Linked DNA regions of Rattus norvegicus. Each later gene encodes a partner of the first gene's protein in a complex. Links are inferred from orthologs where the notes say so. Each region holds a gene or a part of one and is shown on either strand. Other genes may lie near its edges.

Evidence for each region.
Region 2: Sf3b3 (region 1) and Htatsf1 share a complex: the UniProt entries of both Homo sapiens proteins name them as parts of the 17S U2 SnRNP complex. The link is inferred for Rattus norvegicus from reciprocal best matches to the Homo sapiens genes SF3B3 and HTATSF1.

The regions. Positions count from the first base shown.
Region 1 is NC_086037.1:55,717,582-55,725,278, reverse strand, and holds part of Sf3b3 (splicing factor 3B subunit 3), read left to right. Parts: exon of another isoform or gene 1-32; intron 33-359; coding exon 360-532; intron 533-1,021; coding exon 1,022-1,163; intron 1,164-2,352; coding exon 2,353-2,465; intron 2,466-3,331; exon of another isoform or gene 3,332-3,420; intron 3,421-3,610; coding exon 3,611-3,748; intron 3,749-4,544; coding exon 4,545-4,648; intron 4,649-6,210; coding exon 6,211-6,376; intron 6,377-6,675; exon of another isoform or gene 6,676-6,742; intron 6,743-7,697. UniProt on the Homo sapiens protein: Component of the 17S U2 SnRNP complex of the spliceosome, a large ribonucleoprotein complex that removes introns from transcribed pre-mRNAs.
Region 2 is NC_086039.1:139,968,745-139,977,234, forward strand, and holds the start of Htatsf1 (HIV Tat-specific factor 1), read left to right. Parts: upstream 1-3,997; 5' UTR 3,998-4,199; intron 4,200-4,216; exon of another isoform or gene 4,217-4,387; 5' UTR 4,388-4,443; coding exon 4,444-4,629; intron 4,630-5,980; coding exon 5,981-6,161; intron 6,162-6,491; coding exon 6,492-6,539; intron 6,540-6,944; coding exon 6,945-7,099; intron 7,100-8,363; coding exon 8,364-8,490. UniProt on the Homo sapiens protein: Component of the 17S U2 SnRNP complex of the spliceosome, a large ribonucleoprotein complex that removes introns from transcribed pre-mRNAs.

The DNA.
Region 1 (7,697 bases):
TTCTTGGAGATTCTGTGTATCTGATCAGGCCTCTAGAGGGCAAGCCACCCTTTGCCCAGTTACAAAACAACTGGGCCTAATTCAAAAAGGAGTTAACAGACTGATTGGCTATTGTCCCATCTCTCAGTGTACCTTAATGTCCCGGGCACCTTAAACATTTCTGAAGAATTGGGGGGATGTTAAGATGTTTGTTAGAAGGGGTTATGATGATTTTCTGAAAAGGTGTTGTCTGCCAGCAGTAGAGGGCAGTATGTTTGGACAGTTAGTGGTGACTGCTAATGGTCTTACTTAAAAGAATGAATGTCTAGGCGTCTGTCTTCTCATGTGGAAATCTGCTCTTTCATCTCCTCCAACAATAGGTGCGATTGAGAAGCAGAAATTGGTGTATATCTTGAACAGAGACGCTGCAGCCCGACTTACCATTTCATCTCCCCTGGAGGCCCACAAAGCAAACACTCTAGTGTACCATGTGGTTGGAGTAGATGTGGGATTTGAAAATCCTATGTTTGCTTGTCTGGAAATGGATTATGAGGTACCAGGGTCTCTCTCTCTCCTCCCTTCTTCTCTCTCTCTCTGTTTTAGTCATCTCAGATTTTTTTCCTAAAATAATTTTAATTGTATATGTAGATATTAAAATCATTCTTGCTAGCGGATCTTTTTCTTGATATGAATGCTTGACTGAAAATCTTGGGTGCACTTGACTAGTATTATCTGTTCAGATTTAAATGACTGCTCTGATCTGAGACATTTATTAAGAGGAGCTGCATGAGAAAAGCAGAGTTCTATTTGGGTTTGGGGGGAGGGGCGTTGTTTAAGGGAAGTAGTAAAAGGCAAAACATGCCAGTCTTTGCTTTAGCCAGAGCGCCTCCCTCTAGTGGAGGCTGACAGCCCAGGGTCCAACATAGAGATTGCTAAACTTTGTCAAACTATTTGGACTCTGAACCTTTACTTCATTGTATGTAAAATCCTGATATCCTTCCCAAGTCAAAGACTTGATTAGTTTTTGTGCACTGTCTTACAGGAAGCAGACAATGATCCAACAGGGGAAGCAGCAGCCAATACCCAGCAGACACTTACTTTCTATGAATTGGACCTTGGTTTAAATCACGTGGTTCGGAAATACAGTGAACCGTTGGAGGAACATGGCAACTTCCTTATTACAGGTACTTTTCTGCAGTGCTCCTTTGTGCCTTTAGGGGAAAAAACTTACTTTATCTGGGTGTTTTGCTTGTGTGCATGTCTATAGAGACCAGAAAAAGACATTGGATCCCTGTGATCTGGAGTTACAGACCATTGTAAGCTGCCACATGGGTGCTTACCACACAGGATTTGGATCTTAATCTCATTGTAGAAAACCTAATGTTTTATATGTTTTTGTTGCGTTGTTTTAGACAAGTTCTCATTCTATAGTCCTCATTAGGTAGACTAAGTTGACCTTGAAATCAAGGCCATTCTTGCCTTAGTTTCTCTAGTGCTGGAATTACAGATGTTCGCTACCATATCAGGTTTCTGTTTCTTGAGGCTAAAGATGGTAAAGTTTTGGGGGTTTTTTTTTTGTTTTTTGTTGTTGTTGTTGTTGTTGTTGTTGTTTTGTTTTTTTAAAAAAAAGGCCAGGTGCTCCCCTCTTTGATTCCAGTGGGGGATCTCTGAGTTGGAGGCCAGCCTTTCTCAGAATGAGTTACAGGTCTTGAGAGGTGGACACAGTTGGATCTGACTGTGTTTGAGGCCAGCTATGGGTATACATGAGACTCCTGTCTCAAAAGAAAAGGAAAAACACATTAGACACTAGTAAGATAATAAAAGCTACTTATTTAAAAGAATAAAACTATATGAGATCATATGGCCTTATATGAATGTCAGACTTGAGAAGGGACTGGAGGTGCAGCTCAGCAGTTCTGAGCAGTGCCAGCGAGCCCCAGGGATATCACCCACCCCACGCCCGGGGCTCAGGTGTGCTTTCGCTCACAGCTTTTAAAGGGGCCTCATGCTTACACGGCAAGTACTTTACCAGCTGAGCTGGGTTTTAATTTTTGAAATTTTCTCATTCCTCATGCTGGCTTCAAGAGTTTTCACGTAACTAAAGGTGGCTTAAACTCTTGATCAAGATTACAGATGGAAACTACCATGCTTGGCTTTATTTTAATTTTTTTAGAGACAGGATCTCTCAGACCAGCCTCAAACTCACTTTGTAACTGAAGACCATTTGACTTTTGACCCTCTTGCCCCTGCTTTCCAAGTACTTGATTAGAGGCGGACATCAAAAGAAGCACTTGGTTTTAGCATCATTGGTGGGAAGGAGAACAGTTGACAATCAAAGCAGTGCAAAATATTTAAGCTTTTTCCCTCTCACAGTTCCTGGAGGGTCAGATGGTCCAAGTGGAGTGCTGATCTGCTCTGAGAATTATATCACCTACAAGAACTTTGGTGACCAGCCAGACATCCGATGTCCAATTCCCAGGAGACGGGTAAAGTCTACCATAGAGCAACAGCTGACTAGGGAATGAATTAGCTTGTTTGTTTGCTCTTAATGATCCACCATAGTATCTTCCTCTCTCTTCTATTTATTACTCTGTGTGCATGTATGCCATGGTTCGTGTATGGAGGTCGGAGGAGAAGCTGCAGGAGTCAGTTTGTCCTTCCATCATGAGGGACTCCGTTTGAACTCAGGTTGACAAGCGTACTACCTGCTGCACCATCTCACCAGCTTAGTCTCTTAAATTTGTCTGTTGCCATGTTTTGGTTATGTAAAAAGATAAGTTGCTTTTCTAAAACTGGGTATGTTTTAAAGGGGAAATTATTAATTAATACTTTGGAGTGCAGGGCTTTGTGCACTCTACATATTAAGCAAGTTATCACTTTATTAAGGTCATGTCATTGTGCGGGTACAGACTTAGGATTTTTTTTTTTTTATAGATCGTAAATATTCTTCCCTTTCTGGTCTGTTCATTATGTGGATACAGTACCAGTCTTATTACTGAGTCAGTTCTTACATTTTTCCTCCCTCAACTTACATATTTTTAATATTGGTTCTGGGTCAAACCTTATAGGTTAAGCGATAAAATTTAATCTTGTGAAAAAACATTGAAATCGGCCTGTTGATCAGACATTTCCTAAGCCAGGAATTTGTATTCGTTTGGGAGCAGTGAAAAGGTATAAAACTTATGAGTTTGTATGCAGAAATATTTTTTAAAATCTTGAAAACATTTAACAACTCCAAGCACTAGACTTATTTGTAGGGGAGTGGGAACTTGGTACTACACAGGCTGGTGGTGATGGATGGTTTCCATGGCAGTGTGGATGAGTGTGCTTTTTGTTTTTAAATTATTATGTCCAGCCTGAAATGATGACTATTTAATTCGTGTCTCTTCTCTGACATTCTCCTCTGGAGATGATTTTTGCCTTGCTGATCTGATGAGGCTGCAGAGTGGAATATTAGCAGTTTCTTGGTCACGGGGTGGGGTGGGCAAGCTTTAGTTGTTAACAGCTATGGTGGGCAATGTTTGCATCTTAGTCCTTGAGTAGTCTGTAGAGTTCCTTTTTGTAAAAGATGAATTCCAGAATACTGAGTTGCTTATTTCTAAGATGTTGGCTCTGTTTCTGGTTTTGCCAGAATGACCTGGATGACCCTGAAAGAGGAATGATTTTTGTTTGCTCTGCCACCCATAAGACCAAGTCCATGTTCTTCTTTTTGGCCCAAACGGAGCAGGGAGATATCTTTAAGATCACTTTGGAGACAGATGAAGATATGGTAAATAGAACATGGATGGAGGGGGAGTATCTATTTGCTGTAGTCTATCTTGATTTTTAATTTGAATATAATTTAAAACCTTTGTCTAAAGTACCTGCTGTTTGTGCATGTAAGATTTACAAAGCTGTTTTACTTTTTTTGTTACTGTTTTTGCTTTTTTGAGATGGGATTTGCCTTGCCAGTCATAGCTCTGTAGACTAGGCTCACTTAGAACTCAGAATGTGCTTGTCCCTGCCTCTTGAGTGCTGGGGTTAAAGTGTGTGCCACCACTACCTGGCTCTCAAAGCTGCTTAACATCTATACTTCATAACTTTTCCCTGCACCAAGATAGGGAGCAAGTGCAACTGATTCTCAACAAGTCAGAAGGAGGTCTTCCTTTTCAGAAGAGGAACTGGAGGGGGGTGAATCTGGGGGAGATGGGCTGGGAAAAGCCGGGAGAAGTGAAGGAGGGGAAACTGGTTGGGATGTATGGTGTGAGACCAGAATCTACTTTGAGTAAAAGAGGGAAAAATTTAGAAATTTAGATACATTAGAAAGTGGTTACCTTTTGGTTTGAATTTGAATTTGGGTTTTCTCATTCTGGCTAACAAGTATCTGACCTTGTAAAGCCACTTAAGATGTTTAGTTTTTCTCTGCTGTGTATTCTCAGTCCAAAGTAACTGACATTGAAGCAGAAAAAGCAGTAGCTATGTTTAACCCCTCAGGCTGGCTGCACTGTCCTTTGTTCACTTGTGGTGCACAGAGCAGGCTTCTGTGGCTAAGCTGCACCTGCCTATACACCGTCCTTCTGTTCCAGGTAACTGAGATCCGCCTCAAGTATTTTGATACTGTTCCTGTTGCTGCTGCTATGTGTGTGCTTAAAACAGGCTTCCTTTTTGTGGCATCAGAATTTGGAAATCAGTAAGTAATCCTTTTTTTATTTGTTTATTTATTCATTCATTTATTTATTTATTTTAGCTTACCACTATAACCCCTAGGTTACCACACATAGTAAAAGTTAGCAGACAGGAGGTGTTGGGGACCTTTTCATAGAATAGTTGAGGTTTTTCAGAAGTGTTGCTCTCGTTTTCCCTTTTTATTCATTCTCCCTATCCCTTTTCTTCTACTGCATTATCTTTTTTGTGGGTTTTTAGAGTTGTTTAAAATTACATTTTCTATGTATGTATACTGAGTGCATGTACATGCCCCACATATATGTAGAAGGTCAGGCGAGGCATCTAGAACTGGAGTTCCAGTGTTTGTGAGCTGTCAAGGTAGGGATGCTGGGAACCAAACTCAGGTCCTCAGCAAGAGCAGCAAGTGCTTTTAAAATACCACCCCAAGTCCTTCCTCCAACCCCGTTTTTGTGTTAATTTTCATTGTTAGCTTCCTTTACTGTAGTGAATTCCATTACTATCCTGAATGTCTGTAAGTATGGGCTGAGGCAGGAAGATCTCAAGTATGGGACCAGCTTGGGCTGCATAGTGAGGTGATTTTCTAACGAAAAGTAAAGCCAGAGAGATTTTTTTCTACATGTGCTCTCTTGTACAGACCTACAGTTGAAGTTTCTTCGTATCCACATTGCCTGCCTGTATCGCCAGTGTGCCTTGCTCAATATTTTTGTTTAATGGGCCTCTTCTAGTGACTTGTGGAGTCTGAGTTTATTTTTCCTCTACTCCTTTTAGTCAAGTGTACAAGTTCTAGTTTTTCTTACTACACTGTTTCCAGTCTAAATTTAATTTGCTTTGCTTTCCTGCAAAATCCAGTCTTTATAAAGAGTCAAACTTAACAAGATGGGACATTACCTTATTGATAATGTAGTTATTATGTTAGTGACATTATTTCCTGTATCTCAGTATTAACAAACTTTGATGGATTTTCATTGCCATACAGAAGAAATCTGAACTCTAATGAGCAGTTTAAGACCAGTATCCACAATTCCAAATTACTTATGAATGACAGGGCCTTGCCGCTGTCTACTAACATGTCTGCAAAACAGTTTACTGGAAACTGAGCTCAGTTTTCTCGTAATTAAAATTAGATGCTTTTTAGAATTTTGTGGCATGTATGAATTATGTGCAGTAGAAGTGTGGGTATGTAGGTCAGACATGGACGTCAGGTCTTCCTCAGTAGCTCTTTACCTTATTTTCTGAGACAGAACCTGAAACAACTGGTTCTGTGTGGACTGGCTAGGACAGGGATCTGGGACTGTCTCCCCAGCTCTGGGATCACAGGTGTAGCTGCTGCATCCTGCTTTTCACATGAGTATTGGGAATCTGAACGCAGGTCCCCATGCTTGTGTGCCGAGCACTCTTGCAGCCGAGCTCTCCCCTGCCTACACGTGCTCTGCACTTCCTGCCATTTGTTCTGAGTACCTTGTTTCGTCTCTCCCCTTGAAACCTATACAGCAAACTGCTGTCACGTCCCACTTCCAAGCATACTGTGACCTGTGCCAAAGAAAATCTCTTTTGCTTTGTCCTTAGTTACTTGTATCAAATTGCCCATCTTGGAGATGATGATGAAGAGCCTGAGTTTTCATCTGCCATGCCTTTAGAAGAAGGAGACACATTCTTCTTTCAGCCGAGACCACTCAAAAATCTCGTGCTGGTGGATGAACTGGACAGCCTCTCTCCTATTCTCTTTTGCCAGGTGTGACTTTATTCAATTACTTCTCAACTATGCCAGCTGACTATTATTAAATCTGAAATGTAATGGTTTAAAGTTTTCCTCAATATGAGATGTAGTCTGAAAACTGCTTATCTGTGAAATCGTTGCTATGGAAACCTGGTAGTTAACAGAAGTTCAGGGACGTATCAATTTATGAGGGCTGTTTGTTTTGAGACAAGACAGTCTTAGTCTGTATAGCTCCAATCTAGTTTTCACTGCACATTTCATTGACCTGCTTTCCTTTGACTGTGTGAGCAGTGTTAATTCTTATGTGCTATACTAATAGTTGAAGGTTCATTAGCAGAGTAACTGCATACAGTAATTCTGCCAGTCCCCTTCAGACAAAAATAAAAAAAAAATAATAAAAAAAATAAAAATTTAAAAAAACTAGTTTTGGGGTTGGTGGTAGCTCAGTGGTAAAGCACTTGCCTAGCAAGCGCAAGGCCCTGGGTTCGGTCCTCAGCTCCAGGGGGAAAAAAAATCTAGTTTTGAACTTAACTATCCTCCTGCCTCAACCTCCTCACTGCTGGGATTAGAGGTGTAAGCTGCCGTGCCTGGCTGGGTGGTGAGGTTCGAGTTCACAGCTGTCCTCGTGTAGTCACCTAGGAGTTGGCTAACTGCGTGATATGCACGTATGTGGGTATGCAGCTAATAACAATGGGGCCCATAGGTTTTTGAAGTACTGGTTAGAATAAATGACTCTTGGAATACCTGAAAACTTGGTAATTACTTTTATTGGTAACAACGTTATAATTCAGTGTAGTTTGGCACTGATAAGTAGAAGGAAACACTAATCTTGGATGCAAGTCAGATTTAACAACACTTCATTGCACATGATATCAAAGTTTCTTTTTGACTTCTGAATAAATTGCATGAGTGTTTTTGTTTTTTTTTTTTGTTTGTTTGTTTTGTTTGTTTAGTTGGTTGGTTGGTTTTTGAGCATTATTTCTGTGTGCAGTCCTTGCAGTCTTTGGAACTCTGTAGACTAGGATAGTCTTAAACTCAAGTCTTCCTGCCTCTTCCTGCTGGTTCTGCTTCTGGAGTGCTGGGAATAAAGGTGTTTGCTACTATACCCTACAAGGTGGTTTTTGTTGTTGTTATTGTTGTTGTGTTGTTTTTTTAATATTTACTTATTTTTATATATATGAGTACACTGTTGGCTGACTTCAGACACACCAAAAGAGGCCATTGGATCCCATTACAGACGGTGGTAAGCCACCATGTGGTGGTTGCTGGGGATTGAACTCAGAATCTCTAGAAGAAGAGTGGACACTCTTAATTGCTGAGCCATTTCTAGTGTGGT
Region 2 (8,490 bases), on another chromosome or scaffold:
ATTGCCATTCCATTATAAGAAATCTTACAATTGAAACAAAAATGTTTTAAGAGTTGGAGGGTATTTAGCGCTGAGTCTGGGGCAGGGTGCTTCCCTTACTGGGTCAACATGTCCTGAATTTATGTAATTCTACTGCCATTTGATTAATAACTAGGCAAAGCCATGTCTCACAAGTGTTGTGAGGAATTTATCTTATTCACAGGACGACCAGGGGCCCCAGAGGAAGATTTTTTTGTCCAAGTTTCTAAGCTGTCACTGTCAGAAATTCTTTGCTCTAAGGAAACTCATTTCATTTGGGTGAGCAGTGCCCTCTTTCTAAAACCCTGAGGAACTGCCATGTGACAGCTTCAGCACCTGGCTGTGCGAGCACCATCAGATCATCTACCTGCTTGATTTTCCTCAACTCGATGGGTGCCTAAGTCCTAGAGCTCACCTCTGTTTCTAGAAGTCAGACAGGAGGCTCTGACTCTCTATCCTTATCTCCAGCTTGCTAACACAAATGAGCTTGTTAATAACTGTAATTGGGAAAACAAAATCCTTGTAGTCAATAGATTTGTCAGACTTCTGTTTGTGCTTTCAGAAAATGTATTCTTGAAGTAAATAGAAGCTTACCTTTGGCACTATAGTTACATTCGTATTTTTAAAAACTTGATTTTTTTCTTTTAGAGTGCTTTTGGTATTTTTGAGCTTTAAATGGCTTGTGCCGTTGTGAACTTCTGCTAATTATGTGGCTCAAAAGGGGCGGGGCATACATCAACACTGAGCTTTAAATGTCCTTACAGTTGGCTTACTTAAAGTGGGGGTGCTAATATTGTATTAACATTGCTTTAAAGTGAGCAAAATTGTTGTAAAAAATCTGGAGGTGAGCAAATAAATAAAAAATAAAGTATGAATGGCTTTGTGTAACTTTTTACTCTAAAAATAATGACAGAATATAAGAACCCATTTCAATTCCAAGACTTTTGTACTTTCAAATCACAAAACTATAAAATAGTTGATTTTTCTTAATTAGAAAAATGTTGTATATTTACTCTCCTGGGCCTAACACTTGAGAAATAATTTTATAAATGTACCAGGCTATGGGCCTGAGAGAGAGCTAGGCAGTTAAGAGTGCTCCCTGCATAAGCATGAGGCCCAGACTTTGGATTCCAGCACCCACCAGCCAGATGTGGTCCTGTATACACCTGTAATTACAGCACAGAAGGGGGTTGAGATAATAGGATTCCTGGCACTTGCTGGCTGTCAGCCTTGCTAGAAAAGACAAAAAGAAACCAGAAACCCTGGGTTCAGCAAGAGTCCATACATCAAAAGGAATAAGACAGATAGTGATAAAAAAAAAAAAAAGATACATGACACCTTCCTCTGGCCCTAACATACGTATATGATCAATAAGTAATTAGAACCCTAATTTTATTTTACCTCATGCCTTTCTGAGAGTGTGGGCCCCCCCTAAGTATCCCACAACCCTGGCACATTGCCTTTGAGGGGCTAGGCCTATCTTCTTTCACTAAGGTCAGATAGGGCAGCCATGAAGAATGAGCGTCCTGTTTGGTACATAGTCGCTAGGGGTCCTCGTTCCAGCCGAGGATAGAACTCCAAGTTTAAAAAGTATCAGGCTACAAAAGTCAAGACAGTACTTTCCTGTTTCACAAAACTAGGCTGCATGAGTTAGTGATGAAATATGTTTAAAGTAACATCTTAGTTTTCAAGGGCATCAGCTCCCTCCACTTTTTTTTTTTTTTTTGGTTCTCTTTTTCGGAGCTGGGGACCGAACCCAGGGCCTTGTGCTTCCTAGGTAAGCGCTCTACCACTGAGCTAAATCCCCAGCCCCATCCCTCCACTTTTGTAGCAGAAAACTGTGATTAAAATTTACGGGTTTGGGGGAAATGAACTCATTTTCTTTCTTGGGGTTAACTTTATTAGGTGCCTATAATAATAGCCACAATTACATTGTTTTTGTGAGATATTTCATTTCTTTAGTGAGAGTTCTAGATAGGGAGAGATTTGGACAAAGGCAAAACATACTGTGAACATGTCCTAATTTTGCTCAAAATTTCGAATGTGGATCACAGCAATACCCTAGGAAGTAGGAAAGTCACAAAGTCATGTACAACCACAGCATATGCAGAGGGGAAGTGCCCCCAATTTAACCCTGTACATCTTCTGTAAGCAAATTTTGTTTTTAAGTAATTCTGTGTTCATATTACCTTAGGTTAAAGATACATCAACCTTTTTATCAGAAGAAATCCCCTCCCAACTAGGATTAGAGATTACAAGATGTGGGGACAAGAAAACTCCCAAACATAAGGATAGATGTATGTGAGCGTGTGTGTGTGTGTGTGTGTGTGTGTGTGTGTGTGTGTGTGCGCATGCGCGCGCACGGCGTTAAAAGTGTGTGCCATGTGCAATATCATCCAGTGCACTATCTCTTCTATTGTAAACATACTCCTGAATGAAATGGAAGCATAATAACAAATTAGTGAAAAGTGCTGTATAGTTTTCAGATCAAAGCAAGACCTACTTAGCAGCATTTAAAAGAACCTAACAAAATCCACAGCATGCATATAAATTCAGTTCTCCAATAGTTCTACTAAAAACAGAACCTCATAAAAATAAATATATTTGGAAACAAAAAATACTGTTTTATTTTTTTAACATCGTTAACGTGGGATCAGATTCAGAGATTTGTGAGGAGCCAAGATGTTCTAGAACCTAGCTTGAACCACTGTGTTTACAAACAAAGGTGACTGGAATGGAAATAATTTCTAAGAAGCTTTTCCCTACAGTCAAGTCTTGATTATAGTACTGATGTCTACATGTATAGTTTATTGCTACTTTTAGTGATTAAAATTTTACTTGCATAGTTAACATTATGGCAACAGACGTTGTTGTTTGTTGATAAACGTAGTCCACACACCAAAAAAAAAAAAAAAAGCTGTTTAGAATTGTCTAGTTTTTGAGTATTAAAGGATGCTGAAAACAAAATAAAACAAAGTAATTGCTGCTGTCCAGCATCTGGTGCTTCCACCCTATTGTTCGCCAACTATAATTGAACCTCCCTTGATCTGTCTTCTCAGCAGCTGCCTCAGAATCGCCCCCTGGCACTTAATAGTTCAGTAAATGCCTGTCTGTTTTAAAAATATGGACCTCTTCCCTTTTCGAGGTACATGAAACATCTAAGAGAAAAGTCCCGCTTTTCTTAGTAAGGCAGTAGGCTGTCTTACTAAGAAACAAGGAAATGGGGCCACATGGTTCATCTCCTATTTGTACAAGGGGATGTTTACAGTCAAGCTTCAAATTCCAGGCTGGAACACCTCTGACACGTTGCAGTAAGCCGCAGGCAAAAGCTACTCTCACCTACTGCAGTCTGAGGGTGGTACCAGAAGCATAAAAACGGGGTGAGATTTAGCTCAGTGGTAGAGCACTTGCCTAGCGAGCGCAAGGCCCTGGGTTCGGTCCCCAGATCCGGAAAAAAAACAAAAAACAAAAAAAAAAAAAAAACGGGGTGAGATTAGGAAGCGATGGCTTCTGCCCACTTTTCTTTCACTCCTTCTTCACTAGACGCCAAACAGTATATTAGGTGTTTGGGTTACTAAGGTGAACAAAAGCCGCGTGTACCCTAGGGCAAGCATTTAAAAATAAGTAAACCCTTGGCTTCTGCGCAGGGGCGGGGATTTGCGCGAAGGAGGCGCAAAGGTTTCGCGAAGCGGGAGAAACTTGTCCCACGGTCCCACCCACCTCCCCAAGATGGCGCCTGCCGCAAAGCCCAAACACAGCCAGCTCGTCTGGAAGAGTTCCGCGTCCTTTTTCAGGCAATCGCTGCGGCGAAATTCGTCCGGAGTGCAGAGGAGCCCAAGGTTCCCGAGGTGCCACGCATTTCTGCAGGTTGCGTCTCTAAGGCGAGTTACCATTAAGTATGGACACGCGGCGGCAGCCAGGCTTTGAAACCCCGCCCCTGTCCGCGCAAGCGTCGCGGACATATGACGCCACGTGGGCGTGTCGAGCGATCCTTACGTCGCCACGCGCGGACAATGGCGACCGCATCAGTCTGAGGCGGACTTCGTTCTCAAATAGTTGCCTGACGTGGCGGAGGAAGCTGTAGTGCCCCCGGAGCCAGCCGCGGCGGTAACCGCGCGCTTGCGCGCTTCCGCCTCGCCCTAGACCTAGCGGTGGCGTTGAGACCCCGCGGAGTCCGCCAGGTGGGTGGCGGCGACAGCGCTGGCAGTTTCTAGACGCATGCGTGCGCGAGTGGGGCGGGCAGGAGGGCGGAGTTGGGGTGGTACCGCTTAGACTTCCCAGGGTCTGCTGGGGCGCTGCGGGAGGCGGCCGGGGAGTTGCAGTGCACGTTCTGAGCTCTGCAGACCTCTCTTTCTCTGCTCTCTTCCAGCGCCCTTTTGGCCTCTTCACTTCTCTGACCGTTGTGTCCGGGACTACGTGAGAACCATGAGTGGCAGCAACTTGAGCGGGAACGATGAATTTGATGAGCAGTTGCGAATGCAAGAATTGTACGGAGACCCCAAGGAAGGTGACACCCAGAATGAGCCCTCTGGAGAAACTGATTCTTTGGGACAACCACCAGATGACACTCCCTACGAGTGGGACCTTGATAAGAAGGCTTGGTTCCCTAAGGTAAGAGAGTAGCTTGAGTCCCACTGTGGAGCGGGACATAGGGCTCCCTGACCACCTTTGCGGGACATCCCTCTTATGTTTGCTCCGCTGAAGTACTTGGTCTTTGAACTGGTGGTTGGTGGCTAGTCTGTTCAGTCTATTGCAGCCCCGATGTATAAAGAAAAGTAAATCTTAGAGTGGTGCCTTAAGTGTGTTTTTTTAATGTCTTATTAATTTGTGTATGTGTGTGTGTGTGTGTGTGTGTGTGTGTGTGTGTGAAGGTCACAGTTCATTTTTATCTGGATATTTTTACTGCAAAGAGGAAAAACACCAAGAAAAACACATTAATAAGAGTTTTATCCTGTATAACCAAACTTAACTTACGCTTCGTGTACATGCTTGTGCCTAATGTAGCTTGTTGATTTACCGGGTCAGAAAGCAGTCATTCAGCTCATTCTGCCGAATAAACTTTTCTTGATTCTTGTTTTGTTTTATTATTCTACTAAATTTTGTTCCAGGACATCTAAGTTTGGACCCTCTAAGCACAGGAGTATGACTAGGAATGCGCAGGAAATGGATGAAAGAGAACTCTACATTTGTTTCCGAGTACTTGGGAATTGCTAAGTGTTTAGTTTCAGCATGGAAATAACACAACTGGTGTTGAACCCGGTGTTATAAACTGTAGGGTGAAAGTACTCTGTTAGTTTTAGCCTCATGGGAACTTTGGCATCAAAGGGTACTAACAGCACACCAAGCGATTGGAGAGCCAATCACACACAACTTTTCTCCATTGTGCAGGGGGATTGATTGTTGGTTCCAAAATTCTTTATTTCAGCTATTCTTTCTGATTTTGTATTTGCGCATATTTCAAGCACCCCAAACTGTAAAAATTTACAATTGAACTTCTGGACTTGCAATGCCTTTTCGAATGTAGATGAGATTTCTTTCTGAGCACTTATAATAGTCTGACAAACTATTATTTGGTATCTGGGCACCCAAAAGTAGATACTGCAATAGATTGCTAGTGGACTTTGGGTTTTACCATCTTGTTATTCGATACTTCTTTTGTTTTATGTATTGGCCACTTTTGTTAAATATACTGTAAAGAAGTAGTAGTTTACAAGAATGTAGAAAAAAGTGGTAGCATCACTTAAAACTATGCGTGTGGTTTTGGCAATCTGAGCACCCTTGTCCTACTTTGATTGCACTACACGTTTTCCGTATAAGGTGACTGGTCTTGGATTATATTTTAATTAGTAGAACTACTTGTGGTATAAACACTTGTTTAAGTCTTAGCTTATATTGTTGAATGTAACACAGTTTCCACAAGTGAAGTCACCTTGTCCGTCCATGTGTTGACTTATTTATCTAGATCACCGAAGATTTCATTGCTTCGTATCAGGCCAACTACGGCTTTTCTGGTGATGGTGCACCCAGCTCTACTGGGAATGTCCAGGACGCCAACACTAAGACTGTAGAAGAGCCGCCACAGAAAGAAATCCCGGAAACCACTGACTCCAAAAAGAGGGGAGAAAAGAGAAAGGCTGAATCTGGCAAGTGGTTCTGTCTTTGCAAAGTCCGGGTTTAAAAATGAGATAGGAAAAATGAGTGAGTCCATTGTACATGTTGGAGGCAAGAATGATAATGTGAGTTTTCACTTTAAGATAGGGTTATAGTCATGAAGGATAGAAAGAACGCTAAAGGTAATTCTCAGTCAAAAGGTTTATGTCTTTTGGAAGATACGTAGGGATTTGAGTTAGGCGTAGTTGTCTGAGATAAAGAGGACATTCTAAAACTTTGAAGAAACTGCCTTTGCTAAGATTTCCTAATGTAATTCTTGTTGTTTGTTTCAAGTGTTTTATTTATTTCCCTTTGATTTTTAGGATGGTTCCATGTTGAAGAAGACAGAAATACAAATGTATATGTGTCAGGTATTTATCCTGTTGCAGTGCAGTTTTCACGTTGGTATCCTTTAGTGTTGAAACTGCGCTAAGTGAGTTTTAGTTTCGGTGTGTTTTGTTCACCTGCTTATGCTAGCTGGAATTTAATGAGGAGGGATTGAAGAAAAGTTATGCAGTGTTCCATGCTGTTTTGTATGCCTGCCTTAGAGAATTCACAGCAATTTGTTCCTTTACATTTAGTGAAACATACGCATAGCATAACTGATATTTTTAATATATAAAATGTGAATCCTCTTCACATTTATAGATAGGAAGTTGTTGTACTCATTTACCCAAATTAGCCTTGTATTCACATAAGTTTCAGGTTTCTCATTGGTAAATGCTAAAGTCTTTTACTGTCATTAAACACTTTAAAATTGTTCTCTGAAAGTACAGGTCTCCCTCCAGACATCACAGTGGATGAATTTATACAGCTTATGTCCAAATTTGGTATTATTATGAGGGATCCTCAGACTGAAGAATTTAAGGTCAAACTTTACAAAGATGATCAAGGAAATCTTAAAGGAGATGGACTTTGCTGTTATCTAAAGGTTGGTATTTGGTCCAATAAGTCTCTTATCCTCCAGTTTTTAAACCAGGAGCCAAAGCTAGGATTTTATAGATACTAACCTAAACCACAAACTATCCAAAGCAGAATACAAAGGAAATTGGGTTTTCGGGGTATTACTATATGTAGGCCATGCTGTATCTTTTCTCATTTTTTTTTACATATATATGAATTACTGCTTCCATAGAGTATACTCACCAAATCCTGCAAATACACGACACAAAAGAAGTATTTAGTAAGACAGAGGAAAACCCAGAAATCAACTTAGTGACACTAGGGTTATTTGCTTGTTTTAAGAAACTTTGCTACAAGGTCAGTATGTTATGCAAATATGTAATTTTGAGGCTTGTCATGTTCAAAAATCTCACTGCAAAGACATCTTCATCAGTGTATATAATCAAGAGTTTAAAAATCTGAGAAGGAAAAAAGCTAGTGACATTTTATTTGCACATGGGAATGAACTGGAATGGGGTTTAGCAAAGTCGTGCCCGCTGCCTGTTTTTGCAAGTACAGTTTTGTTGGAACACAACCCCACTGGCTAACTTAGGCTTGTGCGGCTGCTGCTTTTGTCAGTAGCATTGAGCAGTTGCAGCAGTAACCCTAACCCTAAGGCCTAAGCTGTTTACTAACTGATGTGTTTGTGTAGGACCCAGGATCCATAACTGCATTTAATATATAAGCCATTAAGTAATTCTCTTCTACTAAGCATTTCCTTACAGATGTATATTTGGTTTGACGAAGCTGAATACTAAAGGCTGACTGTCTTCTGGTCGCTTAAATCACCCACTATTATGTGGATGATGGTACAGAATCTCGCAGCTGGGACATGCCGCAGATATCACTCACTTTACTCCTCCCATTCTACACATGAGGAAATCGGGTTCCTGGACATAAAACTTACCCAGTAGTATAATTCTAGTAATAGAATAGTAAATATATAAATATAATGAACACCTACTGTATGTTATACCCATACCTTTCCATATACTATTTCATCTAATTTAAGGGACTCCGTGATGAAGATATTTTAGCTTTACACAGATGGAGAAGTTGGGGGTTTAGAGAACTAGTCCTGTACCTAAGTTAACACAGGTGTGTGAGATATATGTGTGTTTCGAACAGAGCTTTCCTGATTTCTACTTTAGGATTCTTTATACTAAAGTAGGTAGCGGGCATGTTTTTTAATCAAAATCCCAAGTTTCATTTCAGTGCTCAACTTAATGAGTATTTTATTTTACCTTATAAAGAAAGAATCTGTGGAACTTGCATTAAAACTTTTGGATGAAGATGAAATTAGAGGCTACAAATTGCATGTGGAGGTGGCACAGTTCCAGCTGAAGGGGGAATACGATGCCTCAAAGAAGAAGAAGAAGT